Arabidopsis thaliana: one gene and its partners. The protein of the gene in region 3 purifies or fractionates together with the protein of the main gene of each other region. This does not show direct contact. Each region holds a gene or a part of one and is shown on either strand. Other genes may lie near its edges.

Region 1 (6,984 bases), on a different chromosome or scaffold from region 3:
AATATATACATAGCTACTTCACTAGCACAATTTATCAACACTATGGACTCAGAGCTTTTTCAGTCAGCACGACTTTCTGCATCTTCCCTAAGGTATTATGGGTTGGGGCTAGAAAATGGAGGGTACACCGTAACACTTCAGTTTGCTGAAGTACAAATTGAAGGTTCTAACTCTTGGAAAGGTATTGGAAGACGACGTTTTAACATTTATGTCCAGGTCTGCACCACTTGATCGAGCTTTCCGGTTCACAAATGTTACTTTTTGGTTCTGATGAATTCTAAGATCTAGCTCCATTTTTCCAGGGAAGACTTGTTGAAAAGGATTTTGATATACGCAGAACAGCTGGTGGCTCTTCGGTTCGAGCAGTTCAGAGAGAATATAAAACAAATGTATCAGAAAATCATCTCGAAGTCCATCTTTTCTGGGCTGGAAAAGGAACATGTTGTATTCCTATCCAAGGGGCTTATGGGCCATTAATAGCGGCCGTCAGTGCGACACCAGGTAACACAAACGGTTGATATATTTTTTTTCCTCTGATTTTCACTATCTCCCGATACTAGTTAGTGCCGTGTCACATATTCTTGTTCAGATTTCACACCAACTGTGGCTAATAGGCCACCATCAAAGGGAAAGAGCAGGACTGGTACTATTGTGGGTGTCATTGTTGGTGTTGGACTTTTGAGCATCTTTGCGGGTGTGGTTATCCTCGTCATTCGAAAAAGAAGAAAACCGTACACAGATGATGAAGGTACAGATGTAATAAGAACATAAACAAGCCCTTGAGCTGAATAACTTTAGCTCTCTGATCAAAATTAAAGTTGACTATCATCTGTTAAATTGGTTGATTTTAAGTAGTGAATTTTTTATGGCAGAGATACTTAGTATGGACGTAAAGCCTTACACCTTTACTTACTCGGAACTTAAGAATGCAACACAAGATTTTGATCTCTCAAACAAGCTTGGAGAGGGAGGGTTTGGGGCTGTTTATAAGGTAAGTCCCTTACTGAATCGAACAAAATAGCTGTATATTTTTCTGAGATACTAGGAAAGAAGGGTACATGTAATACCTTTTAATACGTTTTGTTTTGAATAACACGTTCAACAGGGAAACCTCAATGATGGAAGAGAGGTGGCGGTGAAGCAGTTGTCAATTGGATCACGGCAAGGGAAGGGACAATTTGTTGCAGAAATTATTGCAATTTCTTCAGTTCTACATCGCAACCTAGTAAAACTTTACGGGTGCTGCTTTGAAGGAGATCATCGTTTGCTCGTATATGAGTATCTCCCTAATGGAAGTCTCGATCAGGCATTATTTGGTAATGAACAGAAACATGACTTACCTATCTCTGCTTCTGCCAAGCTAAAGTAATCATTATGCCATTGGGTTGGATGTTACAGGGGATAAGAGTTTGCATCTTGATTGGTCAACCCGTTATGAGATATGTCTGGGAGTAGCCAGAGGTCTAGTTTATCTCCACGAGGAAGCAAGTGTTCGCATAATACACAGAGATGTGAAGGCCAGCAACATTTTACTGGACTCTGAACTGGTCCCAAAAGTTTCTGATTTTGGGCTTGCAAAACTATATGATGACAAGAAAACCCATATTAGTACCAGAGTGGCAGGGACGATGTAAGCAAAATCCATAGACCCTGACATTTTGTTTGCAACACAATTATGGCTTTATAGCTCATGTTAGTTGTATCAATGCAGTGGGTATCTTGCGCCAGAGTATGCCATGCGTGGACATCTAACAGAGAAAACAGATGTGTATGCCTTTGGTGTTGTGGCTCTTGAGCTAGTGAGTGGAAGGAAAAACTCTGATGAGAACCTGGAAGAGGGAAAAAAATATCTTCTTGAATGGGTACGTCTATATTTGTCATATAGGCGAAGTTGAAGATGGTGTGATAAATGACAAAAGCCGATAATCCTTTTGTATTTCTTGTATACAGGCATGGAATCTACACGAGAAAAACCGTGACGTTGAACTAATAGATGATGAGCTAAGTGAATACAACATGGAAGAAGTGAAACGCATGATTGGCATTGCTCTGCTTTGCACTCAGTCATCTTATGCGTTGAGACCACCAATGTCACGAGTAGTAGCCATGTTGTCAGGAGATGCTGAGGTCAATGATGCCACCTCTAAGCCAGGCTACCTAACCGACTGTACATTTGATGACACCACAAGCTCCTCATTCAGCAACTTTCAAACGAAAGACACTAGCTTCTCGACGAGCTTTATAGCGCCTGGCCCGGAGATGCCACTTAGAGACGGCGAATCGAAGCCAATGGTTGGATTCAAGATCAAGGAGGGAAGATGAAGATTGTCCCCTCTATAATTTGATATGCTTGTATATGGAAGTTGACAATTTTCTTCTATATAAGGATGTGGAGAAACAGATTTCACTTTCATTCAATAATAATATTTTAGTTGACAATTTTTCAATTTTTGTAACAAACTTTTGATATCTTGCAAGGATGACCAAAAAAAAAAAAAAAAAAAAAAAAAAAGAAAGTTAACCTGTTGTGATGGGCCGGGCATTTTATAAGCTAGTACAACTAACACACCGTTAAATGGGCCTGGCCCATTGAATTTTTCAAGAGCAGCGCCATCAACAGATGCGCTTATTAAACCCCTGAAACCCTAGTTTCGTTCGTTGTATATTTCTTCTCGCTCAGTAGGTCTTTAGGGTTTTAGTTTCTTCTCCTCAAAAAATGGCGATGTATGTTATCTACGAGTCTTCTTCCGGCTATGGTCTCTTCGAGGTTCACGGACTAGATGAGATCGGACAGAACACTGAGGCGGTTCGGACTTCTGTCTCCGACCTCAGTCGCTTTGGCCGTGTTGTTCAGCTCACAGCGTTTCATCCCTTTGAGTCTGCTCTCGATGCTCTCAACCAAGTCAACGCCGTCTCTGAAGGTCAGACTCTTCATTACTCTCTTCTTATTCTTTGTTCTGTATATTCATGTGTTGTGTTGAGTAGCTTGTTCTTGTATTTAGAGCTAGAGTAGACACTTCGATTTAAAACCTTATAGTTCAAATTTCCTGGATATATTGTAGAAAGAGCTTTAATTTATGGTTGATTCTTGTTTTTGTGTTCTGTTTTTGTTTCATTGTTTTGGTTTTGTCATTGATGCTTTTGGAATTGGTTTTAATGTGATATTGGTAGGTGTTATGACTGATGAGCTTAGAAGTTTTCTGGAGTTGAATCTTCCTAAGGTCAAGGAGGGAAAGAAACCCAAGTTCAGTTTAGGATTGGCTGAGCCTAAACTCGGTTCACATATATTTGAAGCTACTAAAATCCCATGCCAGAGCAATGAGTTTGTTCTTGAGCTTCTCAGAGGTGTTCGCCAGCATTTTGATAGGTTTATCAAGGACTTAAAGGTGTGATCTCCTTTCTATGTGTTTAAAATCTTTTTGTCTGTTTGCTTATCTCATATGGTTTGTGTTCTCATAAAAAATTTCTGTTTATGTAGCCTGGTGATCTTGAAAAATCTCAGCTTGGATTAGCTCACAGCTACAGCAGAGCCAAGGTGAAGTTCAATGTTAACCGAGTGGATAACATGGTTATTCAAGCTATCTTCATGCTTGACACGCTTGATAAGGATATCAATTCCTTTGCCATGAGAGTCAGGTTTGTTTTGTGCTTTTCCCTTTCAGATTGTGTGTTTTCCTCGAGAAAATTGGTAGCTGAACTGTTTATAATGTTATTACAGGGAATGGTATTCGTGGCACTTCCCCGAACTAGTGAAGATAGTCAATGACAACTATCTTTACGCCCGTGTTTCAAAGATGATTGATGACAAGTCAAAGTTGACTGAAGATCACATCCCCATGCTTACTGAAGTCTTAGGGGATGAAGATAAGGCAAAGGAGGTCATCGAAGCTGGAAAAGCATCCATGGGTAAAAATTTTGAGCTGACTTTTTTGGTAGCTTTGAGTTAATGTGTGTTTCTGTTAACTTATGTCCTGAGACATTTACTCTCTTCCCTATTGGCAGGCTCGGATTTATCACCGCTTGACTTAATCAACGTACAGACCTTTGCTCAGAAAGTTATGGACCTTGCTGACTACAGGAAGAAGCTCTATGATTATCTTGTCACTAAGATGAGCGACATTGCCCCTAATTTGGCTGCTTTGATTGGAGAAATGGTCGGTGCCCGTTTGATTTCACATGCTGGAAGTCTGACTAACCTTGCTAAATGCCCATCTTCCACCCTCCAGATTCTTGGAGCCGAGAAGGCTCTTTTCAGGTGCAATATCTGGCACTATATTTTTAATGTTCACCAGTTTCCTTTTAGTGCTGCTTGTGACATGAACTGCTGTGGTATTTCAGGGCACTTAAAACACGTGGAAACACTCCCAAGTATGGATTGATTTTCCATTCTTCCTTCATTGGCCGAGCATCTGCTAAGAACAAGGGCCGTATCGCTCGTTATCTTGCAAACAAGTGCTCTATAGCATCCCGGATTGATTGTTTTGCTGGTAAAAATCTGAAACTCCTTGAAGAAGAGTTTTGGATTATGAATTCTGTTGTGAAAGTGTTAAATTATGTGCCCTGATGTCCTATGCAGATGGTGCAACTACTGCTTTTGGTGAGAAGCTTCGCGAACAAGTTGAGGAAAGGCTAGAATTTTATGACAAAGGTGTTGCCCCACGCAAGAACGTGGATGTAATGAAGGAGGTGATAGAGAATCTAAAGCAAGGTATTTCTTGTAGCTGTTTTTTTTTGGTTGTAATCAGAGTCCTCTTTATGATGGCAAACTCAGTGTTTTTTTATCTGTTCCTCCTTTAGAAGAGGAAGGGAAGGAGCCAGTTGATGCCTCGGTGAAGAAAAGCAAGAAGAAGAAGGCAAAGGGTGAAGAAGAAGAAGAGGTGGTGGCAATGGAGGAGGACAAGTCAGAGAAAAAGAAGAAGAAAGAGAAGAGGAAGATGGAGACTGCAGAGGAGAACGAGAAATCAGAGAAGAAGAAGACAAAGAAGAGTAAAGCTGGAGGAGAAGAGGAGACTGATGATGGTCACAGCACCAAGAAGAAGAAGAAGAAGTCTAAGAGCGCTGAATAGAAAGGGATGCAACATTAACAAACCCTGTATTGTATTTTTTTTTTGAGCTAAATTAATGTCGTCTGTTTTTCGTAGTGAACATCGGAGAATTTTTGTTTTGGTCTGGAAACGATTCAAGGTTTGGCAATATCTTAAGTTTGTTTAGGTTTTCACTATTTTGACGTTTGCAACCGTGAAGGAGGCTCCTCCATTTTATAAAATACAATTACCAATTCCAGTGCTTTGCAAATGTTTCAATAATAGCTAAACTAACTACCAAATTGGAAAACTAGCTTAACAAGTTTGTGAAAATGAATTTGGAGCCATATGATTTATTATTTTACCCAAATGGAGTAATAGAAGAAGAGCAGCTCGCGTTTGAATGGTCAGTTAACATTAACAAAAGGTAAAATTGAATAGATGTTAAAACTTGTGTAAGTAAACAATAGAGCTACCTCCTTTTGAGAAGGATAGATAAACTCGTGACCAACCACATTCCCAGTCCCATATTCTTAGTACAAATAAGAAATTCACACCCCTCAAAGAAATATAACATAATCAATCATAGGAAATATACTTCGCATAATGACGATAATGATCAAGTTTCTCCTGTTAGCTCTGCTCGTGATCTCTCCGATTTGCGCCGAGAAGGACCTGATGAAAGAGGAATGCCATAATGCACAAGTTCCGACCATTTGCATGCAATGTCTTGAATCCGACCCAACCTCCGTTCATGCAGACCGTGTTGGCATCGCCGAGATCATCATACACTGTCTCGACTCTCGTCTCGATATCATCACCAAGCAAGTTTTCCCTTCTAATAACCATACATATATATTAACTTAGATATATGACAATATTCTCTAACTAATATATCAATCTTTTTATTGTTCTAGTAACATTACAAATATATTGTCACTGGGAGGAGGAACGAAAGAAGTGAGAAAAATCTTGGAGGATTGCAGAAATGACACGTCGACGGTGGCACCTAAACTACTGTCGGAAGCCAAAACAGGTCTGAAAACCGGTGATTACGACAAAGCCGCCAAATCGATAGAGTATGCTAGCATTCCTCATAGCTGTGGATTAAAGCAACCAAGTGTCGAGTTTGAGTTTCTTCAACTGTTTAGTCAAATCAGTATCTATACTCAACTCTCTGATGCTGCCATGAGAATCATTGATCGCTTCTAATTACTCCACCTTTTTATCTCTATGTAACTCAACAACATCGATGCTTACCATGCATCCCCCATATAAATAAATGATTCCCTCTTTTATCACGATTTTTATTCATGCATGGTCTCATTTAGGCGACAATTACTTAACACTTCACCATCTAATAATCATACTAAACTGATGTTGTAGAAATTACGCTCATCAATCCTTAAGGAAAAAAAAACTAGAGATTAATTATCTTGAGATGAATATCGTCGCTTATAAAAACTTTTTAATTCTTCCTTAATAACATGGATACATTGGGGATAGTGGACCGTTAAATGGGCCATGTATCACCAACTCACCCCAACAATAGTTTCTGCGGTTTCGTCGCCCGGAGTCTTGCAAAGTGGAGATATGTGAAAATCCATTGAAATAATCAAATATATAAATGAGTCATTAACCAAAAGAGAGACTCATTATCTGTTGACGACGTTGTATTTTCCTAAGTAATTAAGTGTTTTTGAATTTTCCAATAAAAAAGGCTTTTCATATTTCTCTAAGAAAGAAGAAACTCGCTTATAAATCTCAAAGAGAGAGTGGAGTTCCATTTCTTCTTAACTTCATCAAAACCCTATTTTACATTTCTCTTACAATAATCTTCTGATGGCTGATTCCGGTAAGCAATGTGTCTTTGTGAAGACTAGTATTGATACCCGTTTAGGGCTATCCTTGACAATTATGATAGCGTATCTGCTTTCAAATGTGACTCTTCATAATCTCT
Region 2 (6,603 bases), 2.2 Mb from region 3:
TACTTGAAGTGTGGATTTACTAAATGTAGCCATTGCACAGACTAGTCCAAAGAGAACAATATCTTCTGATGAGATCACCTCCCTATAATTATAATTGTCTACTTCTTTCCAAAGCTGTACAAACTACATTATATAGATAAAATTTAGATAACGAATCACAATTTAATATTAATAAAAAAAACTGTGTTAAAGTTAAGGAGAATTTTTACCCCTTCCGCAGTAACTTGATACTTGCTTTCTAAAAGATTAGAAAGAGACTTAAAGCAGTCAATTTTGAAGCCATATGCCCTTTTTACGTTGCAGTAAGCTATCTGTTCGACACTTCGGTGGGGAAGCTCCCCAAAGTTGCGGGTCTCGAGGGCCACCAATAGTGTAGCCATGTAAGCATCGATAGTTTGGACCTGCCGGGGATATGGTCGGAAAACGATCGCCATTTGGCCACAGTGGTAATGGAGCCAATACTGACGAAGTGCAAGACGGTCTTTTTCGAGTTCGTCCTGCAAAAGAATAGAAGATTAGATGTACAATATGGAATCTTGTTGCGCAAGCAAAGTTTTATAGTCACTTTTCCTTACCGTAGCACTTTCTAAGTCGTTTCTTAGAATGCTGTCTTGTTTGACGAAATTGTTGTTCTTAGTAAGACGCCATTTTTCATCCAAGAGATAACCTTCTCCTAATCTGCCTTGTATTTTTTCAGCTATAACTGTGAACAAACGCATGTCACAGACAATTCCGTCATTCCGGATAAGATCATAGGCAAGTCGAAGGGCTTCAAGTTCCAAATCGTCAGTGAACATCGGGCCAACAGAATTCTCTGCGATATGAAGTAGCCTCAGCACTAGGTTTCGTCCTTCGTAGTTTCGTGAATAAGCTTCCACATCCAAGTCCAATTGATCATCACCCTAAGTAAAGGTCATTAAACAAGATTTTCAACTTAACGATAACAATATGTTCTTCTTCTTTTTTGTTGACAACAATAACCCAATAGATTTTACAGTAAAACGCAACATTGCACGAACTAAACTGAAAAAAAAAAAACTATTTAAAATTACCTCAATATCCATCTTGTTAACCAATAGTTTTTTCAATACTTAGTCTGCAAGAAACACTTAAGAAAGATAAATGAAGTTAAATCTGATTAACAAATTAACTAAGCTAAGTTTCTGCTGCGAAAACAAATTTGTGTGTGTCATAAACAATATTTTTCTACCAAACTCAATGCTCTGTTAATCTAGCTAGTCGATGGATTCTCCAAATTAAAACTGACAAGATTAACTCTAAACGGAGATTACTTCACATGCAAGAAACATTAAAGAAAGTAACACAGATTAACTGTTCCGAGAGAGAAATCTCATTTAATTGCATGAAAAATTAAGTAAGTCTGCTACAAAAACGAATTATGTCACAAAAACAAAATCATTCACCAAAATCAAAAGATTCAATCAAAGAAACTTTGCACGATTTGGAAAGAAAAATAGTTGAAGTTACCTGTTTATCTTGCTAAGCGATAGAATTTCTCCAAATTGAATCTATGACGATTAATAAATTTAAACGACGATTGCTTCCTATTCAAGAAACACAAAGAAAGTTAGAGAAGTGTCCCAACAACACAAATTAACAGTTCTGAGAGATAGATCTCATTTACTAGCATAAAAGATGAAGCTAAGTTTCTACTGCAATATGATTTTACATAACAAATAAACCCATGCATCAAAGTCAAAAGCTTCAATCGAAACATTACATTTACCGCAACTTTGCACGATTTGGGAATAAAGAAGAGTTAAACTGACCTCAGTTCCTCTTTCTAATCGAGAGATTTCGCAAATTGAATCTGTACGAGTATAATTGATTCACTAGTTGAGCTAATCGTCTTGTTCTGTTGCAGATTCTTGAGCGAAAGAATCTTAAGAACTCACACGTACGGTCTTCAGCAATCCCTTCGATGATGTGACTACAGGACCTTCTATCTCTCTTGTATCTCTCTTTCTCTCTGTTACAGATTAATTTTACAGGAGAAAGAAGAAGAAGATGATCAACAAGAAAGAAGACGACTCTCAACTCTGTAACGGATCAATTAGTTTGTTTATATTACTAACTGATATGATCTGGTACGGGCCCTTCCACAGTAACTGAAGCCCACGCGCGTGTACTTCACCTGAGACCACCTAAACTTTTCCCTCTTTGTATAACAAAAGCTTGTTTTTTTTTCCTTACATGAAGACCATTGACCCATGCTAGTCATTTTGGTTGAGTCCGATAGAATTAATGGGCCAGGCCCATGTAGTTAATCTAAGAGCAAAGCCGCATCATCTTCCGTGCGAAATAACCTTAAACCCTAATTTCTCTTATTCTTCTCCGAAACGGAAACTGCATAAATACTCGATTTTCAAATCAATTTTGAAAAAGACGGCTAGGGTTTTTACAGAATTCTCTCTACAATGAAGATTTATCTTCTTTCCGAATCACCCTCCGGCTACGGATTGTTCGAGGGACACGGTTCCGATGAGATTGGACAGAACACGGAGGCGGTTCGGAGCTCCGTCTCGGACCTTAGTCGGTTCGGGCGGGTCGTCCAGCTCACTGCTTTTCACCCGTTCCAGTCTGCACTCGATGCTCTTAACCAAATCAACGCCGTCTCTGAAGGTGAACTCACTACTAAATTACAGCTCTTTCCCTCTTTAGTTTCCTGCACCATATACTTTATTACTTGCTTCTATTATAGTTTATGCTGGAAAGAGCTTAATTCTTAGAAATTGAGCTCTTACTACTGTTGGAATCAGCTTATTCTGTTCTGTTTTAGCTTTTGCTGGAGGTCTTGATAATAAAGTATTAATATTTGTATTGTTTTTACACCTTAAAAATCGTAGGATACATGAGCGATGAGCTGAGAAGTTTTCTGGAGCTGAATCTCCCGAAAGTGAAGGAAGGCAAGAAGCCCAAGTTTAGTTTGGGAGTGTCTGAGCCTAAAATCGGTTCTTGCATTTTTGAAGCTACCAAAATTCCTTGCCAGAGCAATGAGTTTGTCCATGAGCTCCTTAGAGGTGTGCGTCAGCATTTCGATAGGTTCATCAAAGACTTGAAGGTGTGTTTTTTATTTTTGATTACCTAATACCTACACATATTTTTGCTATTCGTGCTCAATATCATCTTCTTTATAATGTAGCCTGGTGATTTGGAAAAAGCTCAACTTGGACTAGCTCATAGCTACAGCAGAGCAAAGGTGAAGTTCAATGTTAACCGGGTGGATAACATGGTTATTCAAGCTATTTTCATGCTTGACACACTTGATAAGGATATCAATTCCTTTGCTATGAGAGTCAGGTTTGTTTTCTTATTGTTTTGCCTTTCAGATTATGTCTTGTCTGTTACCGTAAGAGAAAATGGTTTCTGAGCAGCTCATATTATGTTTTTGCAGAGAATGGTACTCATGGCACTTCCCTGAGCTTGTCAAGATAGTTAATGACAACTACCTCTACGCCAAAGTTTCAAAGATTATCGTCGACAAGTCAAAGTTGTCTGAAGAGCACATCCCTATGCTTACTGAAGCCCTGGGTGATGAAGATAAGGCAAGAGAGGTTATTGAAGCTGGAAAAGCATCTATGGGTAATAAACTGATGTAGCATGTTCGATAAGAATCATGAATCTTTACAATATATCTATTGTTTCTCATGTTCTAAGACATTGTTGTTTTCTCTATTTGAAGGCCAGGATTTATCACCGGTTGATCTGATCAATGTCCAGACCTTTGCTCAGAGAGTTATGGACCTTGCAGATTACAGGAAGAAGCTCTATGATTATCTTGTTACTAAAATGAGTGACATTGCTCCAAATTTGGCGGCCTTGATCGGAGAGATGGTTGGGGCTAGGTTGATTTCACATGCAGGAAGTCTGACAAATCTTGCCAAGTGCCCATCTTCAACCCTCCAGATTCTCGGTGCTGAGAAGGCACTTTTCAGGTGCATTTCAAGCTTTGTTAGTCTTTACAAGTTTAATTACACTGCAGTAACTAACTTTGGTGTTAATTTCAGGGCACTGAAAACACGTGGAAACACACCCAAATATGGTCTAATATTCCATTCATCATTCATCGGGCGTGCATCTGCTAAAAACAAGGGCCGTATTGCTCGTTTCCTTGCAAACAAGTGTTCCATTGCTTCCCGGATTGATTGTTTCTCAGGTAATAATCTAGAGAATGTCCTGAATAAGAGAGAGGTGTTTGGGAGATGATGCGTTGTTATTAACTACAAAATCATGGTGGTTGTGTTATGCAGATAACAGCACTACAGCTTTCGGTGAGAAACTAAGGGAACAAGTAGAGGAAAGACTTGACTTTTATGACAAAGGTGTTGCCCCACGTAAGAATGTTGATGTAATGAAAGAAGTGTTGGAAAATCTTGAGAAGAAAGGTACATATGACCCAACAAAGCTCTCTGATCTGTTGTGGTAAACGGTTTTGTTTGATGGGTTGTTTCTTCTTTTTTTAAGACGAGGGAGAAAAAACAGTGGATGCTTCGGAGAAGAAAAAGAAGAGAAAGACAGAGGAGAAGGAGGAGGAGAAGGAAGAGGAGAAATCAAAGAAAAAGAAAAAGAAAAGCAAAGCAGTAGAAGGAGAGGAATTGACAGCAACAGATAATGGCCATAGCAAGAAGAAGAAGAAAACTAAGTCACAAGATGATGAATAAACAAACAAGTCTGTGTAATACACTAGTTTTTAGTTTTCTTTCTTCTACATAGGGTTTTGACTTTAAGAACAACTTTAAACATAGCGCAAATTAGATAAGGTTTTCTACTTTTGAATTAAGTCTGTCTTAGCCAAATGAAAACAAGCTTGAGTCTCTGTCTTGCGAGTTTATGACTTAAAAACAACTAAAAACATATATAATTATCAGATTTTCTACAATTGAGTCTGTCTTAAACAAAAGAACAAGCTTTTGATTATTTATCAGGTCTGGTTTTTAACTTTTGAAGATGATCAAATTTTTGTTGATGTTGAAATGGATCTTCAAGTATGTATGGATATGTTTTTGCTCAATTCTTTGAAAATGTCGACAAAACAAATTAACATTACAAAAAAGGATTGAAGGAGATGAATCAAACATGTTGTTTTTCTTTATTATCACTAAAATTGCAGAAACCAGAGAATTCTGCTAAAGCATAGCAACAAAAGAGCAAAAGAATCAATCGCAGAGAATGAGTCTAATCATGGCAAGAACCAAACACGAAACAGAGAAGAAGAAGAGCGTCACAAAATCCCTAGCAGACCATTTCTTCACAGGCTTCGACTCAACTCTTAAACTCTTGGCTCTACGAAGCGCATCCACTTCCTTAAGCAAATCAAATTCGATACCTTTCTTCTTCAACTCTTCAACACATTTACGCAACAGCTTCGCATCTTCTTTCTCCCTCTCCAACAACTTCTCAAGATGCGATTCCACTTCAGATTTGTACCGTACCGCCCAAATGATCCCCAAGGAAGATAGCAGAGCGCAGAGTGAAGGGATCCATGATCTTTTACAAGCACTGGAAGAAGCAGAGGAAGATGAGGATGAAGAAGCGTGGAAGAGAAGTAGCAGAGAAATGGAGTGGAAGAGAAAGAAGAAGATGTAGAGCTGAGTGATTTCTCTTCGAACAGAATCGATCTGAGATTCTTTGTGAGAGACACGGCTTAGAATTAGCTCTTCTTCTTTTAACCATTGTTTCAGGAGAAGCTTGTGTGTTGGTGTATCTGCGATCTGGTGAAGAGGATGTCTTGTCTTTGCCTCCATGATCGGTGGATTCGTGCTCTGATCTGACGCCATGGAAGCTTTGTGGTTAGAGAGAGAGAGAGAAGTGTAGATTTGTGAATCGCAGAGAAAAAAAGATGCGGACTTTATTGAGGCTCTTTGGTAACGGCTCTTTTGGGTTTTATTTTAAAATATTATATGAATTTACAGATTTGTCCTGAGAGCGTAACGGTCATCAATCAACAATATACGGCTCGGCTTGGCGCCGTCACACATTCGTAAACTGCCCCACGGTATTTTAGGCCCATATCTGGCCCATTAAAAACAAGAAAGGTAATTAACCTTATCACCTTTGGGAAGAAAATAGTGAGGAAGACCACTCACGTTATATTTGTGCTTAAGTAATTAACTTATCGTTAATGTTGAAACTAACGCTTGAACCACATGTCACCAATATACATACTGCAACCAGTGGATTTATAGAAAAATACATTTTCTATTTCCGAACGTTACAAATTCGTAACTCTTCTTAAGTAGGTAAACCATAGACAATAGTGATTCACCTTTACCAAAAAGTGAAGAGTGTAATAACTAATAGGCATGAACAAAAAAATGGCTTTGCTTGCAAAACTTCTTATCCTCACCACACTTGTAACAACAATATCAGTAATATCCAGAGCCAATGAAGAGCTAATGATGCAACAATGTCACAACTCTGACAATCCCACCTTGTGTCTTCGCTGTCTAAGCTCCGACCCTGGTTCTCATGAGGCCGACAAAGTAGGACTGGCTCGTATCATCCTCAAATGCATCAACTCACACCTCCTTGTTCTCACCAAGAACGCTTCCACTTTGGGCTCGCAGCACTACCAGAATCCAA
Region 3 (9,889 bases):
TCTGAGAGGATCATACTCCAGTTTGGGAAAGTTGGGAAGGACATGTTTACCATGGATTATGGATATCCGATTTCTGCGTTTCAAGCGTTTGCTATCTGCCTGAGCAGTTTTGAAACCAGAATTGCCTGTGAATAATGAAGAGACTAACCTTAAATCACCTCCGTGTGCTCGTTGTTGTGGTCTGTAGATGGTGTAGTACTTGTCCAAAATCTCAGGAACGTTAATAGCTTTCTCTGGATTCTTTCTGACAATTCAAATCTATCTGTTGTATTTATTTGTCTTTCATGCAAAGAAGCGTACCAGAAATAGGCTACGATTACGTTTTTTTCTGAAATTTACAAACAAAATTAATTTACTTTGCTACAGGATTTAGTTCACAGGAAGAGGGAAGGTTTGTTTTTTCTTTATATGGAAATATTATCTACAGTGAGTCAAAAACTCCTTGGCTGCAGCATTCTCCTCTTCTTCTTGGCTGCAGCATTCTCCTCTTCTTCTTCCTCTGCTCGAAGATCATCTTCTGGTAGCTTAAACTGACTAAGGTTCCGGACAAACTCTGTGACGGCATGGAAATGATCTGGGGAAAAGAAAAGTGCTCTCCCATTCTCTGGTAAGTGAACAGATCTATCGCTGTATTTTCGTCCTTTAGGTTCTCTGTGATCCTCTCAAAACCGCCAAGGTTTGGTTCGGATGAGTTTTGTCCTGAGACGATGACTCCGTGTTTCTTGCAACAAGTCTTGATGTGAGCAAGCAATGTCTCAGGGCTCGAGAGAGATTTCAGTGATTGGTATATGAAGAGTTTTCTTGAATCTTAATTTGTTGTATATGAAGACCGAATTTTGGATAAAGAAGTTACATATTAGTATATTACGCGACAAGAGATACACGAATGCAACTTCGTACTGTATATAGAAACGCATGCTTTTACATTAATATAACATAAACAAAACAAATCAAGACACAGACAAACACGTGTGAACAAATACACAGTACAGGGAAAGGATGGATTTATAAGCTTTTGTTCATGTTCTCTTGGAGAGTGCTGACCAGATGGATAAAACTAGAAGAAGAAGTGAAGCAAATAGAGATAAGGCAAGCGAAGTTGCGATGTAACGACAAAACTTGTCGTAGACATTACAGATCTTGTTCCACCCAACTTCTTCGTTTCCTTTCAACGCTATGTACGCAACTCCTCCCGCCGTTCCCGTTGCAGACGCCAAAATCCCCAGCATCACCTGTTCATATATACATATTCCGGAATTATTACTTAAAACACCCTAATTAACATGGTATATGGAAGTTTCAAAGTTCCTTGTAAAACAAGTTACCATGTCTAACGAGGCTAGGTAAATGGAGAACTGTGCAGTGAACTCAGGTTTCAAGAGTAGAGAGATGGAGACAAGTGTTGATATGAGCGCATAGAAACTAGCTACCACGAGAGCAACCACGAAGTATCTGCATAGATATATAGCCAATTTAACACATTAAGTTTAAACTAGAAAACATTCCATGATTATGATCAAACATGGAGGAATTTAATTAATTAAAGAGACAAACATGAAAGCGGGCGAGTCATTGAACTCGGCGGAGACAGGAGCCGGAGACGAAACTCCAGGGAGCTGAGTCATCTCTGTCTGGTCGCTAGTCACCATTACTATAAGAGCAGTCAGAGTGGCGGAGAAAAGCAGAACTCTTGTTATAATGTCTATTTTACGACAATCTAGGAAACTGGCGGCTGATGAGGGTGGTGGTGTAGCCGACGCGGGAATCGGTTCAGATTTGCCAGTTTCAGGGTCAGGGTTCTCAGTAGACGCCATCAGATGATTCTATAACTCTTTTGTGGATTAGGTTGTGGTTAAGTTTGGACTGTGAGTTATGAAGTTGGCCGCTACATGAGATTATTTGTGAGTATATATATATAGATAGTCCCGGTGATGAGTTGTAGTTATTACCCACACGCCAAGAAACAAATTTATATTTATTTACACTATTCACTAATGTATATATACAGGAACATGAATATCAATTCATTTAATTTCTAGCTTGCATTTTTCATTGTTTAAAATTTCGAAATAGTTTTTGGAAAATTCACTAGATGTTGTAGTTTTATTTCAACGTTAACATATAATGTTTGTTACAACAAATTTTGCATGCATATCTATTTTTGATTAATAGAAAAATTAATATATTTCTATAGGTATAAGTTATGGATAATGTAGATATATACAATGGGAATGTGTTAGGCCAACCCCGGGAAGGTTGGTGAGGAAATTGGGCGACGGTAATCAAAAACAAAATACAAAAAAGGAGAGTAAAGAACAGTAGGAGTGGTTAACCAATCATCTGCATGAAAAAGGTAATTTTATACATGCTCTTAGGTATCACTTTGCTTTCTGCTTGTGGCTGCAAATCATGTAAATGGATATCTTATTTTATGTAAAAACATTAAACTGCAAGAAACAAATGTCCCAGTAGCATGACCACTTCAGCACTTCTCAAACATATTATAATGTTTTAACATGGATAAAGCTATTTCAGATACTAATCCAGTCGAAATAGAGTAGTTTTGTCTTAGCAAAATCACCAAACTTTATCTCTTGATACCAATACAGAGTGACTGCACAAGTCTGAGAACAACACAAAAAAAGTCAGACCTAACAGTAATAATATATATGAACTCATCATGATTTTTATTTCATATCTTAATAATACCTAACTGGTTTTAGTAAATCCAAATATATAAAATTAGAGATAGCTTTAACAAATTGGGGGCGATGATCAATCACAAAGATTAAAAATAGTGTAACTGGAGAATCTTTCTCGAGCAGCTCCAGCATAGTAATAAGTTGGGGAAAATATCGGGCTTGAAAGTGGGTCTTATGGGTCAGTCAGGCCCAACTATGATTAAACAAAGCCCAAATCGCGAATGTTCCAAAACAACTCTCTTGCTCAGGTGGCGGGTAATTAATTACTAATTCCCCGTTCGATGAAGCGACTAGTTACATCGTAGCCATATATTTATTCAGCTTAATCAACGGTTACAAATTACCCTGAAGCTTCGGTCGTTTTGCAATTTGTATCTAAAGTTTCACTTTTTTTTTAAAATCTTTATTTTACTTTCTCACAAGCGAAGCGAACCCTCGATCTCAAGGCGAAAGCAGATTTCGTAGCTTCCATGGCGAGAAATTCGAATTCCGATGAGGCTTTCTCGTCAGAGGAGGAAGAAGAGCGGGTTAAGGATAATGAAGAAGAAGATGAGGAGGAGCTCGAGGCTGTTGCTCGTTCTTCTGGCTCCGACGATGACGAAGTAGCCGCCGCCGACGAATCACCAGTCTCCGACGGAGAGGCTGCTCCCGTAGAAGATGATTACGAGGTAGCTGCAGGCTAATTTCGTTTTGATGGCTGTGATTTTTGAAATCTCAGTGAACTGCATCTTTTTTGTACTTGGAAAGTTGAAATTTCATTTAATGCAATGGATTCGGCGTTCGCGTCTTCCTTCGTTTGTTAGTTTTAGTCGAATTTTTGTTGAGTGAAAGTTCATTGAATGTCTGCGCATGGTGGCTCATTGTGGTATAAGCAGGACGAAGAAGATGAGGAAAAAGCTGAAATCAGCAAACGTGAGAAAGCCAGACTTAAAGAGATGCAGAAGTTGAAGAAGCAGAAGATTCAAGAGATGCTGGAGTCGCAGAATGCTTCCATTGACGCGGATATGGTGCGTTGTTTGAACTATATATTTCAGGTTTTTAGCTACTTTTCGTTCTCGTGCTTTTAAGTTCTGACGATTCTGAATCATTCCATGTGTTTTAGAACAATAAGGGAAAAGGGAGACTGAAGTATCTTCTGCAGCAAACTGAGTTATTTGCCCACTTTGCTAAAAGTGATGGATCTTCTTCTCAGAAGAAGGCAAAAGGAAGGTGTGTTAGATGCAATTTTTTCCTAAAATATCGGTTCATCATTGCTTCTAGCTTCAGAGTAAATATGATGAGCCAGGCCCTGATTTATGTGGTTTTAACTTCTACCTTCAGGGGACGTCATGCTTCCAAAATAACTGAAGAGGAGGAAGACGAAGAGTATCTAAAGGAAGAAGAGGATGGCTTAACTGGATCTGGAAACACACGGTTACTCACACAGCCCTCTTGTAAGTACCTGTATTTTGCTCTTTAGTCTAGGATTACTGTATATTAATCGTCTCTCTAGTCTCGAGCAACAAGTACAATATGATTGACATCTCCGTCCATTTGCGTAACCATACATATTTTTGTGACCTCACAGTTAGTATGTAGTATAGCGTAAATTACTGGGAAAGCTTGAGATTCATCTATTTTTCTTCTCAATCGACAGGTATTCAAGGGAAGATGAGAGATTACCAATTAGCTGGTTTGAACTGGCTCATTCGTCTTTATGAGAATGGCATAAATGGAATTCTTGCTGATGAAATGGTAAATAATTCTCCCCCAACGATCCAAGCAGAATAAGTTCTCTATATTCTGTCATGCTAATCATGAAACTTTTTTTTCCCTGTGGTCTAGGGTCTGGGGAAGACGCTTCAAACGATTTCTTTGTTGGCATATCTTCATGAATACAGGGGAATCAATGGTCCCCATATGGTGGTTGCTCCAAAATCAACACTTGGTAATTGGATGAACGAAATTCGCCGGTTTTGTCCTGTCCTACGTGCTGTGAAGTTCCTTGGTAATCCTGAGGAGAGGGTAAGTCATGAGCTGTCTGCCATTTCAGAATTTCATGTAAACGTTTATCCCAGGATTCTGAAATGTCTGCTAACTGATGCAGAGACATATTCGAGAAGACCTGCTAGTTGCTGGGAAATTTGATATTTGTGTCACAAGCTTTGAGATGGCCATCAAAGAGAAGACAGCACTTCGTCGGTTTAGCTGGCGTTATATTATCATTGATGAAGCGCATCGAATCAAGAACGAGAATTCACTCCTTTCTAAAACCATGAGACTTTTTAGCACCAATTATCGGCTTCTTATCACGGGGACCCCCCTTCAGGTGTTTGCTCTATCTTATTCTTGAATATTTGGACATTGAAGTTTTCTTTGTTAAGTTGCTTCTAATTGAATGTTGAAACAACCTTTCTTGTACGGCTCTGTTTGCACTCTTAACTTTTGCTTTTCCGGGCACTTTTAATATTTACCGTATAATGACTGTGTAGCCTGCTGTACTCATATTGTCCTCATATATGCAGAATAATCTCCATGAACTGTGGGCTCTTCTAAATTTTCTTCTGCCTGAGATTTTTAGTTCAGCAGAGACTTTTGATGAATGGTTTCAAATTTCTGGTGAGAATGACCAGCAAGAAGTTGTGCAACAACTGCACAAGGTATGGATGCACCCATTCCTTGCATTGAGTTTATTCTGTTCTGTGTGAGTCGTAGGTTAATTGCTTTCATGTATCTTTTTAGGTTCTTCGACCATTTCTTCTTCGAAGACTAAAGTCAGATGTTGAGAAAGGTTTGCCACCGAAGAAGGAGACCATACTTAAAGTTGGTATGTCTCAGATGCAAAAGCAATACTACAAGGCTTTACTGCAGAAGGATCTTGAAGCGGTTAATGCTGGTGGAGAACGCAAACGTCTGCTAAACATTGCAATGCAACTGCGTAAATGCTGCAATCACCCCTATCTCTTCCAGGGTGCAGAACCTGGTCCCCCATATACCACAGGAGATCACCTTATAACAAATGCTGGTAAGGCTAGAAATAAACTAGATCCTTCAGATTTCTGTGGAAGTTTTTTATGAAGCATCTCTATATTGTTATTTTAGGTAAGATGGTTCTCTTGGATAAATTGCTTCCTAAGTTGAAAGAACGTGATTCAAGGGTGCTGATATTTTCTCAGGTAAACGCTAATACAGAACAGCTGGATATAATGGTTTCTTACAGTTCATCTTCTCTTTTTCCTTTGTCTATGTAAAGTCTGAGCCTTATTCTTTTCTTTCCACATGTCAGATGACAAGACTTTTGGATATTCTTGAGGACTATTTAATGTATCGTGGTTACTTGTATTGCCGTATTGATGGAAACACTGGTGGTGACGAACGAGATGCCTCCATAGAAGCCTACAACAAGCCAGGAAGTGAGAAATTTGTTTTCTTGTTATCTACTAGAGCTGGAGGGCTTGGTATCAATCTTGCTACTGCAGATGTTGTGATCCTTTACGATAGTGATTGGTAAGTCTCTCATCATTGTCCACTGTAGTTTATGAACTTTCTCTTCACGTTTGACGAGTCTGGCATATTCTGGCAGGAACCCACAAGTCGACTTGCAAGCTCAGGATCGTGCCCATAGGATTGGTCAAAAAAAAGAAGTTCAAGTGTTTCGATTCTGCACTGAGGTTGGTCTCCTCTCCGTGAATTTCAAGTTAAAACAGCCATGAGAGGTTTAAAATTAATTATGTGTTGTTTGTTTACAGTCTGCTATTGAGGAGAAAGTGATTGAAAGAGCTTACAAGAAGTTAGCACTTGATGCTCTGGTTATTCAACAAGGGAGATTGGCAGAACAGAAAAGTAAGTGCGTTATACAGTGATTGCTTTATGCATTGGTTCATCTCTGACAGAATTGGTATTTATCTTAACTATGCAGCTGTCAATAAGGATGAGTTGCTTCAAATGGTAAGATATGGTGCTGAGATGGTGTTCAGTTCTAAAGATAGCACAATCACAGACGAGGATATTGATAGAATCATTGCCAAAGGAGAAGAGGCAACAGCTGAACTTGATGCTAAGATGAAGAAATTCACAGAAGATGCTATACAGTTTAAAATGGATGACAGTAAGGGTGTCACTTACCTACTATTTCCCCTATTAGGTTGTGTGAATATTGTAATGTTTTGATAATCTGTTGTTTTATTTGTTGTAGGTGCTGACTTCTATGATTTTGATGATGACAATAAGGTAACTTGTATATTTCTTTGCATAGTCTTAACTTTCATGTCATATCCCTAGCTTTGCTCTGCATTACTGATGATAAAATTTACTAATATATTTGTAAATTTGTTCATAGGATGAAAACAAGCTCGATTTTAAAAAGATTGTAAGCGACAATTGGAATGATCCCCCCAAGCGGGAGAGAAAGCGCAAGTAATGATTACTTCTGTCTTATACATTGTGCAGTCCTATTTTGCCAGTCTTCATATCTAAAAGAAACATCCCTTTTGTTTTATCTACTGTATCTTCAGCTACTCTGAATCTGAGTACTTTAAGCAAACATTGCGGCAAGGTGCTCCAGCTAAACCTAAAGAGCCTAGAATTCCGCGCATGCCCCAGTTGTGAGTACCTCAACAACCTCCATCTCATTGTTGAATGCCTTTTCCCTGTTTTGATGATTTTCTTACACTAGAAATCTAATTTATTGTCCCTCTTTCAGGCACGATTTCCAGTTCTTTAACATTCAGAGATTGACCGAGTTGTATGAAAAGGAAGTACGTTATCTCATGGTAGGCCTCTCTCAAAACGAAACACTTGATTCCTTTGATGTGCTTAAGAGCGAGTTTTTTTGCCTTATAAAAGCAACTTGCTTCTTTTTGTGCTTTTTGGTTTCAGCAAACACATCAGAAAAATCAGTTGAAAGACACAATTGATGTTGAAGAACCAGAAGGTCAAGCTTGTACCCACTTTGTTAACATGTACCCACTTTGTTAACATGTTTTTCAGCAAACCTATTACTGATTAAGAATTTTTTTGTTAGAAGGTGGGGATCCCTTAACTACTGAAGAAGTAGAAGAAAAGGAGGGATTATTGGAGGAGGCAAGTGAATATGTTTGATGTTAGAGTGGTCTTAGACATTTGATTTGGTAGGCTTTAATTAATTTTTTGTAATTGTCAATCTCCAGGGTTTCTCAACATGGAGCAGAAGAGATTTTAATACTTTCCTCAGGGCTTGTGAGAAGTATGGCCGCAACGACATAAAAAGCATTGCCTCTGAGATGGAAGGGAAAACAGAGGAAGAAGTTGAAAGATATGCCAAAGTATTTAAAGAGCGGTACAAGGAGCTGAACGGTAAGTAACACCTTTCAATGCTAAGTTATGCAGTGTTTTTACATGTTTCTAAGTAATTCCTACCTCCAAAAAGAGCTTATGCTAAGTAAGTTTATCATCTTTCCCTCTAAATATGTAGACTATGATAGAATCATTAAGAACATTGAGAGGGGAGAGGCAAGGATCTCTAGGAAAGACGAAATCATGAAGGCCATAGGGAAGAAACTGGATCGCTACAGAAACCCTTGGCTGGAACTGAAGATTCAATATGGTCAGAACAAAGGCAAGCTGTACAATGAAGAGTGTGACCGTTTCATGGTATGTCTTTTTCTCGTTTCCCTTTTTGCTGTTCTGTCTCATTAATTATATCATGAAGTTTTTGACTGTTGAGGAACTTTGGTGGTGAAAAACAGATCTGCATGATTCACAAACTTGGTTATGGGAATTGGGATGAGCTAAAGGCAGCATTTAGGACATCGTCTGTGTTCAGGTTTGACTGGTTTGTGAAATCCCGCACGAGTCAGGAACTTGCAAGAAGATGCGACACTCTGATTCGACTGATCGAGAAAGAGAACCAGGAGTTTGATGAAAGAGAGAGGCAAGCCCGCAAAGAGAAGAAGCTCGCGAAGGTAAAATAATGCAATATTTTCATGTATAAGGTTGTATTCTTTTGATTTGATTTCTTTAGGTGGTTAATGCTTTTCTGGTTTTTAATCTTTGAAGAGTGCAACACCATCAAAGCGACCTTTAGGAAGACAAGCAAGTGAGAGTCCTTCATCGACGAAGAAGCGGAAGCACCTGTCGATGAGATGAGATTATGTGTTTACGGATCTGTCGAGTCTTTGTTGTTACATATAGTTAAGCTAATGTTAAAAACATAGCAAATGGATTTCATTCTGCTTTCATGAATGTTTGTCCTGGTTTGACTTGGATTTAATGAAATGACTTAATTATAATTTTGTAGACTTCTCTTCCGTAAAGAAACTGAACAAAAGGATTTGAGGCCATTGGATGGCAACTTAGGCTGAAGCTTAAGCAAAAGTTATGAGTTTCTGAGGGATATATGAACAGACGATTTTTTCCACAATTTATTACTTCTTTGTTCAACGGTTGCATTTTATTTACTTAGAGAGGAGAGATCTGATACTTTTGTGGAAAGAAGATGTACATAGGCATTGTTCGTGCAATGTGCAGTGATTGAATGTAGATGTCATTGGATACAACTTACAAGAACGAGGAAGAGAAAATGTGTACACTATATCCGTTTATGCTTCTTTCTACGTTCGCAGACATTTTAAATTACTCCTCCAGATTCATGAAGGAATAAAAACAGGGGACTTCTGATGAATGTCGCTTGAATAAGGCCATTTATTAGTAATTCGTTATTCAAGAAAAATAAACAAGAGAGGAGAGATGGCCGTATGAGAGAATATATTATATATGGACAAATGGTCAATGACAGAAGCTTTAGTCTCTCTGCTTCCATCAAATCTCAGACCCCAAAAATAATCTTCTTTTCTCTTTTTTTCTTAATGTTGCTTAGTTCATGAAGAATTGAGAATATTTTCCTCTCTTTTTTTTTTTTAACTTGAAGTCTTAGCTTCTATGCTGCCACTGACGCTGGCTGAGTCACCACTCGTCTCAGCTGGCTCAGGACGGCTCAAGCCACTGACCATAGAAGAAACTGCAGGAGTCACAGCCTCTTTGGTGGGTTCATTGCTAGAGCTTACTGGAGCTGATGAGCCGCTGAGTGAGGATGATCCGATTGGGTATGGCGCCACGGGCATATCAGTTAGTGATGATGCAGACGGACTGTAGCTAAGCGAAGAACTCATTGAGTGATCAAACTTACACGCCGGTCCAAACTTGCAGATTCCGTGTTGAGCAAAGTGAGT

The links. Proteins that work in one complex are often made in the same cells at the same time.
Region 1: the proteins of CHR11 (region 3) and NOP56 fractionate together in Arabidopsis thaliana (co-fractionation; one large-scale study listed by BioGRID). This does not show direct contact.
Region 2: the proteins of CHR11 (region 3) and AT3G12860 fractionate together in Arabidopsis thaliana (co-fractionation; one large-scale study listed by BioGRID). This does not show direct contact.

The regions. Positions count from the first base shown.
Region 1 is NC_003070.9:20,982,626-20,989,609, reverse strand, and holds NOP56 (NOP56-like pre RNA processing ribonucleoprotein), read left to right. Parts: upstream 1-2,657; 5' UTR 2,658-2,716; coding exon 2,717-2,921; intron 2,922-3,171; coding exon 3,172-3,386; intron 3,387-3,478; coding exon 3,479-3,636; intron 3,637-3,718; coding exon 3,719-3,906; intron 3,907-4,002; coding exon 4,003-4,255; intron 4,256-4,338; coding exon 4,339-4,487; intron 4,488-4,576; coding exon 4,577-4,708; intron 4,709-4,797; coding exon 4,798-5,066; 3' UTR 5,067-5,207; coding exon of another isoform or gene 5,208-5,251; 3' UTR 5,252-5,275; coding exon of another isoform or gene 5,276-5,309; 3' UTR 5,310-5,337; downstream 5,338-6,984. Other genes in the region: AT1G56120 (Leucine-rich repeat transmembrane protein kinase), read left to right, coding at 1-216, 303-501, 590-748, 873-991, 1,106-1,316, 1,399-1,630, 1,712-1,862, 1,951-2,322; AT1G56105 (uncharacterized protein), read right to left, coding at 5,208-5,251, 5,276-5,309, 5,501-5,556, 5,623-5,699, 5,728-5,873; AT1G56100 (Plant invertase/pectin methylesterase inhibitor superfamily protein), read left to right, coding at 5,631-5,852.
Region 2 is NC_003074.8:4,089,240-4,095,842, forward strand, and holds AT3G12860 (NOP56-like pre RNA processing ribonucleoprotein), read left to right. Parts: upstream 1-2,327; 5' UTR 2,328-2,438; coding exon 2,439-2,643; intron 2,644-2,867; coding exon 2,868-3,082; intron 3,083-3,163; coding exon 3,164-3,321; intron 3,322-3,415; coding exon 3,416-3,603; intron 3,604-3,703; coding exon 3,704-3,956; intron 3,957-4,028; coding exon 4,029-4,177; intron 4,178-4,271; coding exon 4,272-4,406; intron 4,407-4,485; coding exon 4,486-4,682; 3' UTR 4,683-4,956; downstream 4,957-6,603. Other genes in the region: AT3G12850 (COP9 signalosome complex-related / CSN complex-like protein), read right to left, coding at 210-497, 576-902, 1,053-1,064; AT3G12870 (uncharacterized protein), read right to left, coding at 5,178-5,798; AT3G12880 (Plant invertase/pectin methylesterase inhibitor superfamily protein), read left to right, coding at 6,324-6,603.
Region 3 is NC_003074.8:1,937,894-1,947,782, forward strand, and holds CHR11 (chromatin-remodeling protein 11), read left to right. Parts: upstream 1-3,079; 5' UTR 3,080-3,172; coding exon 3,173-3,370; intron 3,371-3,577; coding exon 3,578-3,709; intron 3,710-3,804; coding exon 3,805-3,911; intron 3,912-4,022; coding exon 4,023-4,135; intron 4,136-4,338; coding exon 4,339-4,436; intron 4,437-4,526; coding exon 4,527-4,706; intron 4,707-4,788; coding exon 4,789-5,010; intron 5,011-5,206; coding exon 5,207-5,341; intron 5,342-5,423; coding exon 5,424-5,706; intron 5,707-5,783; coding exon 5,784-5,857; intron 5,858-5,967; coding exon 5,968-6,188; intron 6,189-6,264; coding exon 6,265-6,352; intron 6,353-6,430; coding exon 6,431-6,524; intron 6,525-6,600; coding exon 6,601-6,795; intron 6,796-6,876; coding exon 6,877-6,911; intron 6,912-7,020; coding exon 7,021-7,097; intron 7,098-7,195; coding exon 7,196-7,285; intron 7,286-7,383; coding exon 7,384-7,453; intron 7,454-7,559; coding exon 7,560-7,614; intron 7,615-7,704; and 12 more. Other genes in the region: TLP9 (tubby-like protein 9), read left to right, coding at 1-135; AT3G06390 (Uncharacterized protein family (UPF0497)), read right to left, coding at 1,020-1,232, 1,326-1,452, 1,555-1,814; AT3G06410 (Zinc finger C-x8-C-x5-C-x3-H type family protein), read right to left, coding at 9,578-9,889. UniProt on the Arabidopsis thaliana protein: Possesses intrinsic ATP-dependent nucleosome-remodeling activity. Constitutes the catalytic subunit of several complexes capable of forming ordered nucleosome arrays on chromatin. Involved in the formation of nucleosome distribution patterns.